3 linked regions of the Macaca mulatta genome follow. The protein of the gene in region 2 purifies or fractionates together with the protein of the main gene of each other region. This does not show direct contact. Links are inferred from orthologs where the notes say so. Each region holds a gene or a part of one and is shown on either strand. Other genes may lie near its edges.

Region 1 (4,109 bases), on a different chromosome or scaffold from region 2:
ACTATCCTCCCAAAATTTATATGATGCAGCCCTAACCCCCAGGACCTCAGAATGTGACTGTATTTGGAAGCAGGACCTTTAAAAAATGTGATTAAGTTAAAATGAGGCCCTTAGGGTAGGCTTTAATCCACTCTGACTGTGTCCTTACAAGAAGAGGACATTTGGACATGCCAAGAGGAAAGACCACGTGAGAACGCAGTGAGAAAGTGCCTTCCACAAGCCAAGGACAGAGACCTCAGGAGAAAACAAACCTGCCAACACCTTGATCTTGGACTTTTAGCCTCTAGATCTGTGAGAAAATTAAGTTCTGTTGTTTAAGCCAGGGGTCCGCAACTCCCGGGCCATGGACAAGTACTGGTCTGTGGCCTGTTAGGAACCAGGCCACACAGCAGGGAGAGAGAGAGCGCGAAGCTTCATCCATATTTACAGCTGCTCCCAATCATTCACATGACCACCTGAGCTCCGCCTCCTGTCAGATCAGCAGCAGCATTAGATTCTCATAGGAGCACGAACCCTATTGTGAACTGCACATGTGAGGGATCTAGGTTGCATGCTCCTTATGAGAATCTAATGCCTGATGATCTGTCATTGTCTCCCATCACCCCCATAGGGGACTGTCTAGTGCAGGAAAACAAGCTCAGGGCTCCCACTGATTCTACACTGTGGTGAACTGTATAATTATTTCATTATATATTATAATGTAATAATAATAGAAATAAGGTTCTCAATAAATGTAATGCGCTTGAATCATCCTGAAACCATCCCCACCTTGGTCTGTGGAAAAAAGTGTCTTTTACAAAACTGGTCTCTGATACCAAAAAAACTGGGGACTGCTGGTTTAAGCCACTCAGTCTGTGATATTTTGTCATGGCAGCCCCAGCAAACTAATATGGCACTGCTTAGATGCCAGGGAACTAAGAAGGAGTCTTATTAGGTAACCAGCTTCAAGGGACCAGCAACTCAGAGATCCCCAAAGATGAGAAATAATGGCGCTCTCTGAACTATCCACAAGACTGTGCCAAGAGAGAAAGAACTAGGTTTACACACCCACCAGAACCTGCCAGTGAAATGCCAGCTTGTCATAGCATTAACCATGTAAGGACTTCCAGCTCCTTTCCTGCCTCCTCTCTTCTCCCTTCACCCTTCACCCTGCCAGGAGTCAGAATCCTCAGTAAGCCAGAGGAGAGAAGGATGGAAACTTAATGTGGGAAATGAGAAGCCATCCATAGACCCCCTTTCCAAGCTGCAGGCCCCACTAGAGAAGGGAGAGAAGTCTCCACTAGGAACCAAATTCGAAGATCTGGCTGATTCCCTGGGACTGGACATCCCAATTGCTGAATGAGGCTGTGCTGGAACTAAAAGTGACTTAAGAACTTTTGATTCCTGAAGGGGGCCCAGAAGAGTTGTGGACCTGCTTTAATTTTCATCCCAGGGCAAGGGAAGAGTGAGGACCCACTGAAAAAAATTAGGAACAATGATAGGCAAAAATAAAGTTTGCTTTCATAATATACCATGAGTCCTGTATATTTCACGTATGTTCTTCTACACATGAGGCAACTTAGCCTGGTCTCTGGCCAAAAAAGAGATACCACTCATTGAGCAATTCTTATCCTTTCAAATTCCTTCACTGTCATCATTGAGCAATTCCATCTTCTTCAAGCAAGACTAGCTGATGCCAATAGAAAAATCATTTAAAACAAACAAACAAAAAAAAATCCTTAAGCTTTCAACTTGGGTGCAGATGTTCTATGAAGCCAGAAACTGAATGTCATCCTCTATACCCCATGACCTAGAGAAGCAGACTAACTCCAGACCAGCAGGGCTGGGCAGGACTAAGATTCCCACAATACTTAAGAGAAAACTGAGTTCAAATCCAGGCTCTGCCATTTAACAACTGTGTGACCCCGGGTGAATGACTTAAATTCTCTGTACTTCAATTTCCTCATCCATAAAATAGAGATCATAAAGTATCCATCTGATGAAATAGCTGCAAAACACTTAGAACGCTGCCTGGCACAGGGCAAAGGACTCACAATACACATAGCTATCATTATACATCATTGCCTCTCAAAATGAAATCTTGTGATGACCTTGGTTTATTAGCACAACGTTGTTTAAAAAAAAAAAAAAAAAAAAAAAAAAGCTTTACAAGGGGCATGATGATGAAAGGCGCAGATGAACCAGACTGCCTGGGTTTGAATGAAGCAAGAATCTGAGGCACGTTGCATAAGGGTTTGCTATCATTACTGATCATTCAGTGAGAGACATACAGTAATAGGTATACATATGCAGTACATAGAGAAAGAGCTTAGTACTAGCGGCTATTATTAAGGCAACAGTCACCTCAATAAATCTACATGGGCCATGAAGACCCTGGTCACCCAGAGATATCAGAGGCACTGAACAGGGCCAGCCAGCCAGCGGGCATTTTCCTAATTGGGAGGCTGCTGAACTTGACCTCTGTTGCTTTTCATTATTTATTTAACAGCATATGGTGGCTCTCAAGAAAATAGGATGTCTTGAAGCCAGAAACCCATCCTCCTTGGGCTGGATACTCAGCCATCCCCTGCAGCCCCACCCCCTAGCCCCAACCTCTCATTGTCTCTCTTGTGTTACCTGATCCAGTTTCTTCTTCCAGGGCAGGTTCCACCTTGCTGGGGAGAGGTGAAGAACCATGGCCTTCCAGCCTCCCGAAAAGGGAATGTTCCAATGGGCCCAGAGCTCTCTGGGCCCGCTCGCCACTCACTCACCTGGGGCCTGAAGACTGACAGAGAAGCAGGCAGAAAATATGAAAAGCTGATACCCACTGCAGGAAATCATTGTTTAGCCAATTCCAGACTAAAAAAACAAGTGCAACATCGGAGAAAGGAGGGCAAAGTGTCATTCGGGGCCATTGTTACAGCCGCTGCTCTGTGTGGTGGGGAAACAAAGCAGGCCTGTGTATGTGAGGACAATGCTGTTGTGTTACTAACTGCTTCTGTGTTACTCCTGGGGACAGGAGGATGAGAAATGAGGGCACGATGTCTTCCCTGGTGGACTTCACTCATCAGAGTAGCCAGGTCAATCAGAGCTGGGAGAGGCATTTTGGACATTCAGCCCATGGCATGATGTAATAGGGGTCAGGGGACATGCCTTCAGGTGTGACCACCTGCCTATTTGCTAGTCTTCTATACATGAGAGATCACAAATGTCCCTCTCCTCTTCTCTTACTTGCTTTCAGAAACTTACCCCAAGTTAGAGCTGAAAAGAATGAGACATATCATTTCTCCAAACACAAATGTCATCTACTTCAACTCTTCAACTCCTAACTTTTGTTATGGGACATCTGGCCGGGACTAATCCCCAGCCACTCAGCACGTTAGCAGCAGCTGGCAAGATTAGATGAATATTATAAAGCTTGCACCCACTGAATCCCCATAATGAACAAGACACTAGGTCATGAGCAACCTTGCAAAATGACCTCACTTGCTCCTGACTTCAAATTCTGGCTCTGCAACTATTACCCATGGACTGTGAGTAAGTGTTTTCTCTGGGGGTTAGTTTTCCCATCTGTAAACTAGGATGACTGGGTTCCTATGAGGATTAAATGAATTAATATATGCAAAACTCTTAGGAACAGGGGCTGGCCCATAAAAGTGATCAAGAACCATAAATCACAAATTAGATGCCCACATTACCCCTGAAACTTGCTTGCACTCACTCATCAGGAGATGGTATGCAGATGGCTGGAAAACCAGGATCCCAAGTGTCTGTATTTAGCCCTGCTACCTATTATGGCCTAAGTTCACCGTGTTAGGTCCCTGAAGGAATTGGGCACTAATAAATATTCTCAAGTATGAGACAGGCGACAAATGTGTGGAGATGGCCCATTGTGATGCAACAGTGTATGGTGGGAACTGTGGAGATTTGGAAAGCTCACACCAGTCTTCAGGGGGCAGCCAGGGCTCAGCCCCAGCCAACTGCAGCAACGCAGAAAGGTGGAAACAGCATGGTTGGGCCGGCAAATTTTTAAACAAAAGCCAGAAGAGTGGATTTTTATGTCAAGTTTTCCAATTTTGAAACATTGTGGACCACACACAACATTGTTAATGCAACATGAGCCCTAGGTC
Region 2 (3,653 bases):
AATAATTAAAATTTTAAAAAGTATAAGGAGCTAAAAGACTATAGGAACAGTTCCTTCATAAAACTAAAAGGTCAACTATAATTTATTATAACTTCAATTACAAATAAATTTTCACAATCTTTGCAACAACACAAGAATCCAATCACAATAAAGAAAATGTCAGCCAGGCACGGTGGCTCAGGCCTGTAATTCCAGCACTGTGGGAGGCCAAGGTGAGTGGATCACCTGAGGTCAAGAGTTTGAGACCAGCCTGGCCAACATGGTGAAACTCTGTCTCTACTAAAAATACAAGAAATCAGCTGGGTGTGGTGGCGTGAGCCTTTAGTCCCAGTTACTCAGGAGGCTGAGGCAGGAGAATCACTTGAACTTGGGAGGCAGTAAATGTTGCATCGAGCCAAGATTGGACCATTGCACTCTAGCCTGAATGACAAAGTGAGGCTCTGTCTCAAAAAAAAAAGGAAAATGTCATGAAAAGTACGAACAGACCAATTAAAAAAAAAAAAAAAAAAAAAAAAAAAACCCAAAACAATGAAAAGACAATGTTTCAATATTAAAGGATGTACAAGGTCTAAAACAGGTTTATTTCAGATGTTAAAAGGTAAACTCTTTAGGGTACTTCCTATTTGGATTTGAATTTATCTTTAATATACACTGCCAAAGAACACAACAAAAAAACATAACTGAAAATTTACTTAAAATTTACCTCAGGAGGAGAAGCAAACCCTTGTCTCCAAGGTGGGATAAAGCTGGTTTCATCTGAATGAGAGCATGAAGATTGGCCTAAAAGAGATTATCATTATTTTTAATAATTGCACAAAAATAGAAAATTTTTTAGTTCCAAAATGCCTATTATATACTTTTACAAAACTGTCAAATAAGTATTTCAAAAAAATTTAAGTATTAAATTATAAAAAATGAACATTTACCTTGTCTTCACATGCTTCATCGAGGATATCAAGAGCTTCAGAAGAAATCGTTTTGTTTTTATCATGTAGCTGGGTCACTAACAACTCAATTCCCCAATTATTAAAGAATTCAACATTAGCTCTCAATAATACCCTTAAATGTTTTGTTGCATAGAGCCTGCAGGCCTATAAAGATAAATGAATACATTTAAAAAAAAAAAAATCCTTCACCATAAATAACCTATTTGATTTTATTTTGGGAGAGTCCTGCTACTTGAAAAGGGAAGAATGACTGGAATTGGTGGTCTAGCCCTTGATATGAATACTTTTGTGGTTCTTGTAAAATAAAATACTTCCCTTTCTATCTAGCAGCTTCTCTGTGATATAAAAATATGAGTACTATATGGAGTTCCTTGGAGAAACTAAAATTTTAAAGTAAACTCAATTTCCATATCATATTCTTAGAATTTAAAATTAATTTTACTTAGCCCAAAATTCATAAAGTAGCAAATTAATTGTTTATAGAAATAGTTTTACTGGCTATATTATACTCACATCAGTAGCTGCAGTTAAAATTTTGGAAAGGATGACTCTAGCCAATCCATCTCTGCTATAGTCCAAGCTGGAAACAGTAAGTTTTAGCAAGTGATCTTGGTTTTTCAAGGAGCAAAGATTAAGGAGACTTAAAAAAAAAAATAAGAAGAAAGGTTAAAAGAAATTACTATATTGATGCATTAAACAAATATTTTTTCCAGCTTTACTGAAGTATAAATGACAAATAAAAATTGTATTATTCAAGGTGTACAACTTGATTTGATATACACATACATTGTGAAAATTACCACAATCAATGAACATATCAATCATCACACATAGTTACTATTTTGAATGCTGGAGTGGGAAGAGCATAAAGACAGTTCAATGTATATTTTAAAAATTCCTAATATAAACAAGCTTTTTGGAAAGAAAGCATTTAATAACAAGTATCATGTAAAAAAGAATATTAAAGCAAAGATAATGCTAATTTAAAACAAAACTTAACCAAACACATGTACACAGACTAAAAAGCATACCATATCTAACTACATTAAAAATAAAGTTTATGTATATATTGCAACAAAATTTAGGAACGCTCACCATTGAAATACACTGCATTTTTCCAGCATTTTAACTCCATGAGGGTGGCAAGAAAGTGTTCCAATAAATAAAAAGTAGTGTTGACTAAGGGTGGTCAATAAACCATTATTTTGAAGACTTCTTTCAGGTTTCATTCCAGAGGAAGCATTGAGCCACTGAACAATATCCTTTACTAGATCTTCTAAGTAACCTTGCCCATCCTAAAAGTAAATACATTGTGATACTGTGAGAAAAGCATTCAAAATCTGTAATTAGAAAATCGACTTCAATCAAGTACAAAAACTTAATAATGATGAAGTTACCAATAGCAGCTATCAATCAGTGAGTACCTGCTGTTTTTTAATCTGCTTCAACACAATGCTGCATGGAGATGATATTATTCTCCATTTTATGGAAGAGTAAACCAGGTCTTCCAGAGGGCAGATAACTTGCCCAGTCTCACAACTAGTGACTAAGTCCGGATTCAACCCTAGGTCTGGGATCATTTCCTGTGTTTCCAAATACAGCTTATGCATATTCAGAAATGAAAGCAAAACAGAAGGTGGAAACAGAGGGAGGGGAAGCGAAGCAAATTCAATAGAAAACATTTGCTCTGGAAAATATTCAGAAGCTCACCTCTTCAGATTCAAGAAGAAATTCTGTAAACTGGCAACCTACAACTGTGAGCTGTTTGGCCTTGGCAAAATCCAGATCCAGGTTGGCATATAATTTACTGCTGGGCTTGTAAAAATAAAGTAGTCTTCGTACAAACCTAAAATCAAAACACAAGTAGCAACAAGGTAAGAAATGAAGCAATTATTTTAGAATCTTAACCTTTGCTCATGACATAATAAGGCTTTCAGAATATGTTTTGGGTCTGACCCATTGGGATAAATGGCAAGAGATGTATCAAAAGTGTTTGGTACATGATATGATTTGGCTGTGCCCCCACCCAAATCTCACCTTGAACTGTAGTTCCCATAATCCCCACATGTCATGAAAGGGACCTCATGAGAGGAGATAAGATTATGGGGGCGGTTACCCTCAAGCTGTTCTCGTGACAGTGAGTGAGTTCTCACATCCGATGGTTTCATCAGCAGCTTTTCCCCCTATGCTCTGTACTTCCCTCTCCTGCTGCCATATGAAGAAGGATATGTTTGCTTCCCCTTCTGCTACAATTATGTTTCCTGAGGCCTCCCTAGCCATGTGGAATTGTGAGTCAATTAAATCTCTTTCCTTTATAGAAATTATCCAGTCTCAGGCGTTATTTATAGCAGCATTTCATACCAAAAAAAAAAAACCCCAAAAACCAAACAAACAAAAAAACCTTCATTTTAAAAAATATCTCTGTGGAGTAAGAATTTTATGATGAGATGGTTAGAAGAAATAAAGTAGAAGAAAGATGCTGGCCGGATGAATGAAGATTTAATGTAGCTAGAATATAAAACTGGATAAATGAGGATGTCACCTGAACTTAAATTTTCTTCTATTGTATTCATGAAGAACTTTGTCCCATGGCTCAAAAATGTCCTATTGTTAAGGTAATTGTAAGATACTACACTATGATATTGTTGGTTTTTCACAATTAGGCAAAAGGTCAAGCACAAAAGTTGCAATTTAGGCCAATGAATT
Region 3 (3,653 bases), on a different chromosome or scaffold from region 2:
TAGTTAGACAATTTTAGAGAGATCATCTAGTCATCCTCATTTTACTGGTGGCAGAATTGAATTTCAAGTTTGTTTGAGACTGTTAAATCTCAAAATTTAAATTACTGTATAAAAATGTTTAGATGATCTTATTTAGTTTTGTATATAAGTTCTTAATACCTGTTTTGAATAAATGTATTTCTAATCAAGACTGAGTTCTGTCAACTATTCAGACCAAGCTTTATAAATAGCAATAAAAAAATTGGAAATATTATAGGCATCTGGGGCAAACTTAAGGAATAATGTGATTCTTGAAATTCAAAACATTTGAACATAGTATTTCTATGTATGAGTTTTTTAAAGCATTAATAAAGTATCACAACCCTTTGTATAAAGAAAATTTAAACTTTTATTTATGTCACTGAAGACCAGTCATAGAAGAAGTGGGACTTGTATGTTCTAAGGAAATATTTTCACATTATTTGTATATATTAACAACTTGCAGTTTTGTCATGGAGATTCTGTTATTTGGTTGCAATTAGCATTTCTGCGATAATAGCAGGTGTTACGTAGGAGGGAGGAAACTTACTGTAAGAACCGCAAATAGGTTTTGTTTACCTGTGATCTCTGGGAAGAAATGTAATTAACTGAATTGATGATTGAAATATGCCAGATCATCATTCTTTGTACTAGAATCTATTATTAATAAGCATCTATTTTTGCTTTCACTCTTGCTTTTTTCCTTTTTTCCTTCCTCTCCTTTTTTTTTTTTTTTTTTTTTTTTGTAGTACCACTGGGCTTGTACCATGTTCAGCAACACCAACAACTTTTGGGGACCTCAGAGCAGCCAATGGCCAAGGGCAACAACGACGCCGAATTACATCTGTCCAGCCACCTACAGGCCTCCAGGAATGGCTGAAAATGTTTCAGGTGACATATCTGAACATAGTACTTGAGATGCCTCACTTAATTGCTGCAAAATAAGGGATTAATCATCCATTAAAAAAAGAAGGAAGCACTTTTACATACTATACTATGGATGAACCTTGAAATCATTCTGCCAAGTGAAAGAAGCCAAACACAAAAGACCACATGTTGATTCTCTTTATATAAAATGTCCAGAATAGGCAAATCCACAGAGACAGAAAGTAGATTAATGGTTGCCTGGCAATGGGGGGAGGAGAAGGACTAACTGCCAGTAAGTACAGATTTTCATTTTGGGGTGATGGAATGTTCTGGAATTGGATAGTGGCGATGGTTGCACAACAGAGTGAATATACTGGGAAGCACTGAAGTATACACTTTAAAATGGTGAATGTTATGTGATGTATATTTCAATTTTAAAATGCTGTTAAAAACAAGGGAACTCAATTTTTGAGTGTCATAATTGAGGAAGTCCAATACTTATTTGTGTAACTGTGCACTGACATTTTTTTTAAATTGCTTTTTAAATAATAAGACTGACCTTCCTCTTCTCCTTTGTTTGAATTTCTGGGTTGTCTAGTTTTCTAAACTGCATTGCTTGTAAGTTAGGCATTTAAGAGTAATTTAAGAACCATGCTAGCTAGAGTTAATACAGCTTCTTTTCTTCAGTGCCATGCTTGTATATGGCTTACCGTACTTGAATCCTGATTACTATATTTTAATAGTATTTATATTTTTTGGACATTTACAGGGAAGATTGGTTACAACCAAACCCTGAATATTATGAATTTTATAACCTAAGATAGTGATATTACATTGATTTATCTCTTCTTCCAGTAAGATAATGCATATAAATCAAGTGTTTAGCAAAATAAATGGCAAGGATTAAGTTCTCACTCAGTTATTCATTGTAAATAAATAATATAAATTATGTAAAGTGAAGATATGATGTTAGCCTCCATACTAATGTAAAATGAATCTACTAGCCTACCTCTGGCTGCATGAATGGTTAGGTATTTAATCAATGCATAAGGGAATAATGGTTGATAAAGATGATACTTTATTTGACTTTTAGTGTTTCAGATTTTAAAGTGTTCACTTTATAAACCCTAATATTTTAAATACCTAGATGAATATGAGATAAATGTGTCTATTTTTTTCTTCTGTAGCTAGAAAAGTAACTTGGAGCACTATTGCTTTTAAATGGATTTTTAAAATCATTTTCTACCCTTCAGGTGATTTCTGAAAAACTAGGATAACCTTTTTTTGGTTGGTAACTGAAAGATTTGAGCCTTGCTCTCAACAGGGATTAGTTTTTCCCCTGGTTGAGACAAAAGTGTCTCAAGACATTTTTCATTTTTGTAACTGAGGGGATGAGGGCACAGGACACTGCTGGTATCTAGTAAGTAGAGGGAATATAAAGGACGATCTCCATGCCAAAGAATTATCCAGCCCAGAATGTCAATGGTACTAAAGAATCTGGGTTAGAGGAATGAAAATTATATTTTATTGTTATTAAAATGTTATAAGCCACTGCAATTACAAAGAATTTTTTTAAGTTTTCATTTTCATAGTCATTTGTTGATTAAACTTACCTTTTCCCCAAGGATTATTCCTACCCCACCCCCCTGAGTTATTTTGCCTCTGGTTCATGATGGTTTGTAAAATGTTAATTAATTTTTATTTTTTCCTATGCATGCCCTCAGAATTCTGAATTTTTAATTTTGTCCCATCCTTTTAAAAGGAAATCTTTCCATCAATAAGAGGTGAAAATAAAACTCAGACACTTATATAGCCTTAAAAAAAATTTAAATATTTTTATCATCTCTGATTAAGCCAAAGAGGTAGGAATATGGTTGTGTGTTGCCATGCTAGCACATGCATATAGTGTGAACAGCATATATCATTCTGATTTCATATCACATGATTTCACTGATTTAATATTTTTATAAGAAAATACATGATTGAAAATTACACTATTAGCAATAGTTTTATCATCACTGTAGAAAAACCTCCAAAATGCTTATTTTGTATGAAAAGGCTTATTTCTCATCAGAAGGTAGTTCAGAGTAAGATTTACTTTTTCTGTGGTAGGGCTCGTTTTTTCCAACGTTTTGGAATACTTGAATATTCTTTGCTTACTATCTAGGATATTTCTCAATTTTAAGGGGACTCTCTAATATTGATCCATAGGAAGAGGCATTTCAGCTTTATTTTAGTCAGGATATTTTAGAGAGTTCATTGTACACCGTTTGCTTGTTTAGCTAGTTCATGCTTTTTAAATGAAATGTCCAAATGTTACCACATACTATATTTCATCAAATCTGAGACACCATAGATTTTTTTAGATGCATTCCAATTTCAGAAATGTTAATATTTAAAAAAAAAAAAAACTTTATTCAATAAGCTAAAGAATGTTAGACTAGCTTTTGGTCCTGTGAAAGAAGTAGGTACAGTGAAAAAACCTTGTTCTTAGTTAACAGGAATAGCATGTGGAATTACCCTGCAGGTATAGTATTTTAATTTTTTTTTTTTCAGATAAATATTCTGTAGCAAAGAAATCTGTAGCAACAAAAGGTCAACTAGACAGGTAGATCAGGACCTTCATCTTCTGAGTACCATGTCTGTCTCTGACACACCCAAGGCCTCATTGTTGTACACTGCCCTTTATTTTCAGGGCTGGTCCCAGAGTAACTAGAAATGATTCACTTGCCTAAAGGCTTACAGTGCTTTAATGTCTAACTTGTAGA

Evidence for each region.
Region 1: the proteins of RICTOR (region 2) and PRR5L purify together in Homo sapiens (affinity purification with western blotting; 3 studies listed by BioGRID and IntAct, with this or other methods). This does not show direct contact. The link is inferred for Macaca mulatta from reciprocal best matches to the Homo sapiens genes RICTOR and PRR5L.
Region 3: the proteins of RICTOR (region 2) and FBXW7 purify together in Homo sapiens (affinity purification with western blotting; 3 studies listed by BioGRID, with this or other methods). This does not show direct contact. The link is inferred for Macaca mulatta from reciprocal best matches to the Homo sapiens genes RICTOR and FBXW7.

Annotation. Positions count from the first base shown.
Region 1 is NC_133419.1:28,983,333-28,987,441, forward strand, and holds the start of PRR5L (proline-rich protein 5-like), read right to left. Parts: upstream 2,841-4,109; 5' UTR 1-2,840. UniProt on the Homo sapiens protein: Associates with the mTORC2 complex that regulates cellular processes including survival and organization of the cytoskeleton.
Region 2 is NC_133411.1:40,050,590-40,054,242, forward strand, and holds part of RICTOR (rapamycin-insensitive companion of mTOR), read right to left. Parts: intron 2,794-3,653; coding exon 2,658-2,793; intron 2,243-2,657; coding exon 2,043-2,242; intron 1,588-2,042; coding exon 1,461-1,587; intron 1,092-1,460; coding exon 927-1,091; intron 781-926; coding exon 704-780; intron 1-703. UniProt on the Homo sapiens protein: Component of the mechanistic target of rapamycin complex 2 (mTORC2), which transduces signals from growth factors to pathways involved in proliferation, cytoskeletal organization, lipogenesis and anabolic output.
Region 3 is NC_133410.1:160,943,367-160,947,019, reverse strand, and holds part of FBXW7 (F-box/WD repeat-containing protein 7), read left to right. Parts: intron 1-767; coding exon 768-909; intron 910-3,653. UniProt on the Homo sapiens protein: Substrate recognition component of a SCF (SKP1-CUL1-F-box protein) E3 ubiquitin-protein ligase complex which mediates the ubiquitination and subsequent proteasomal degradation of target proteins.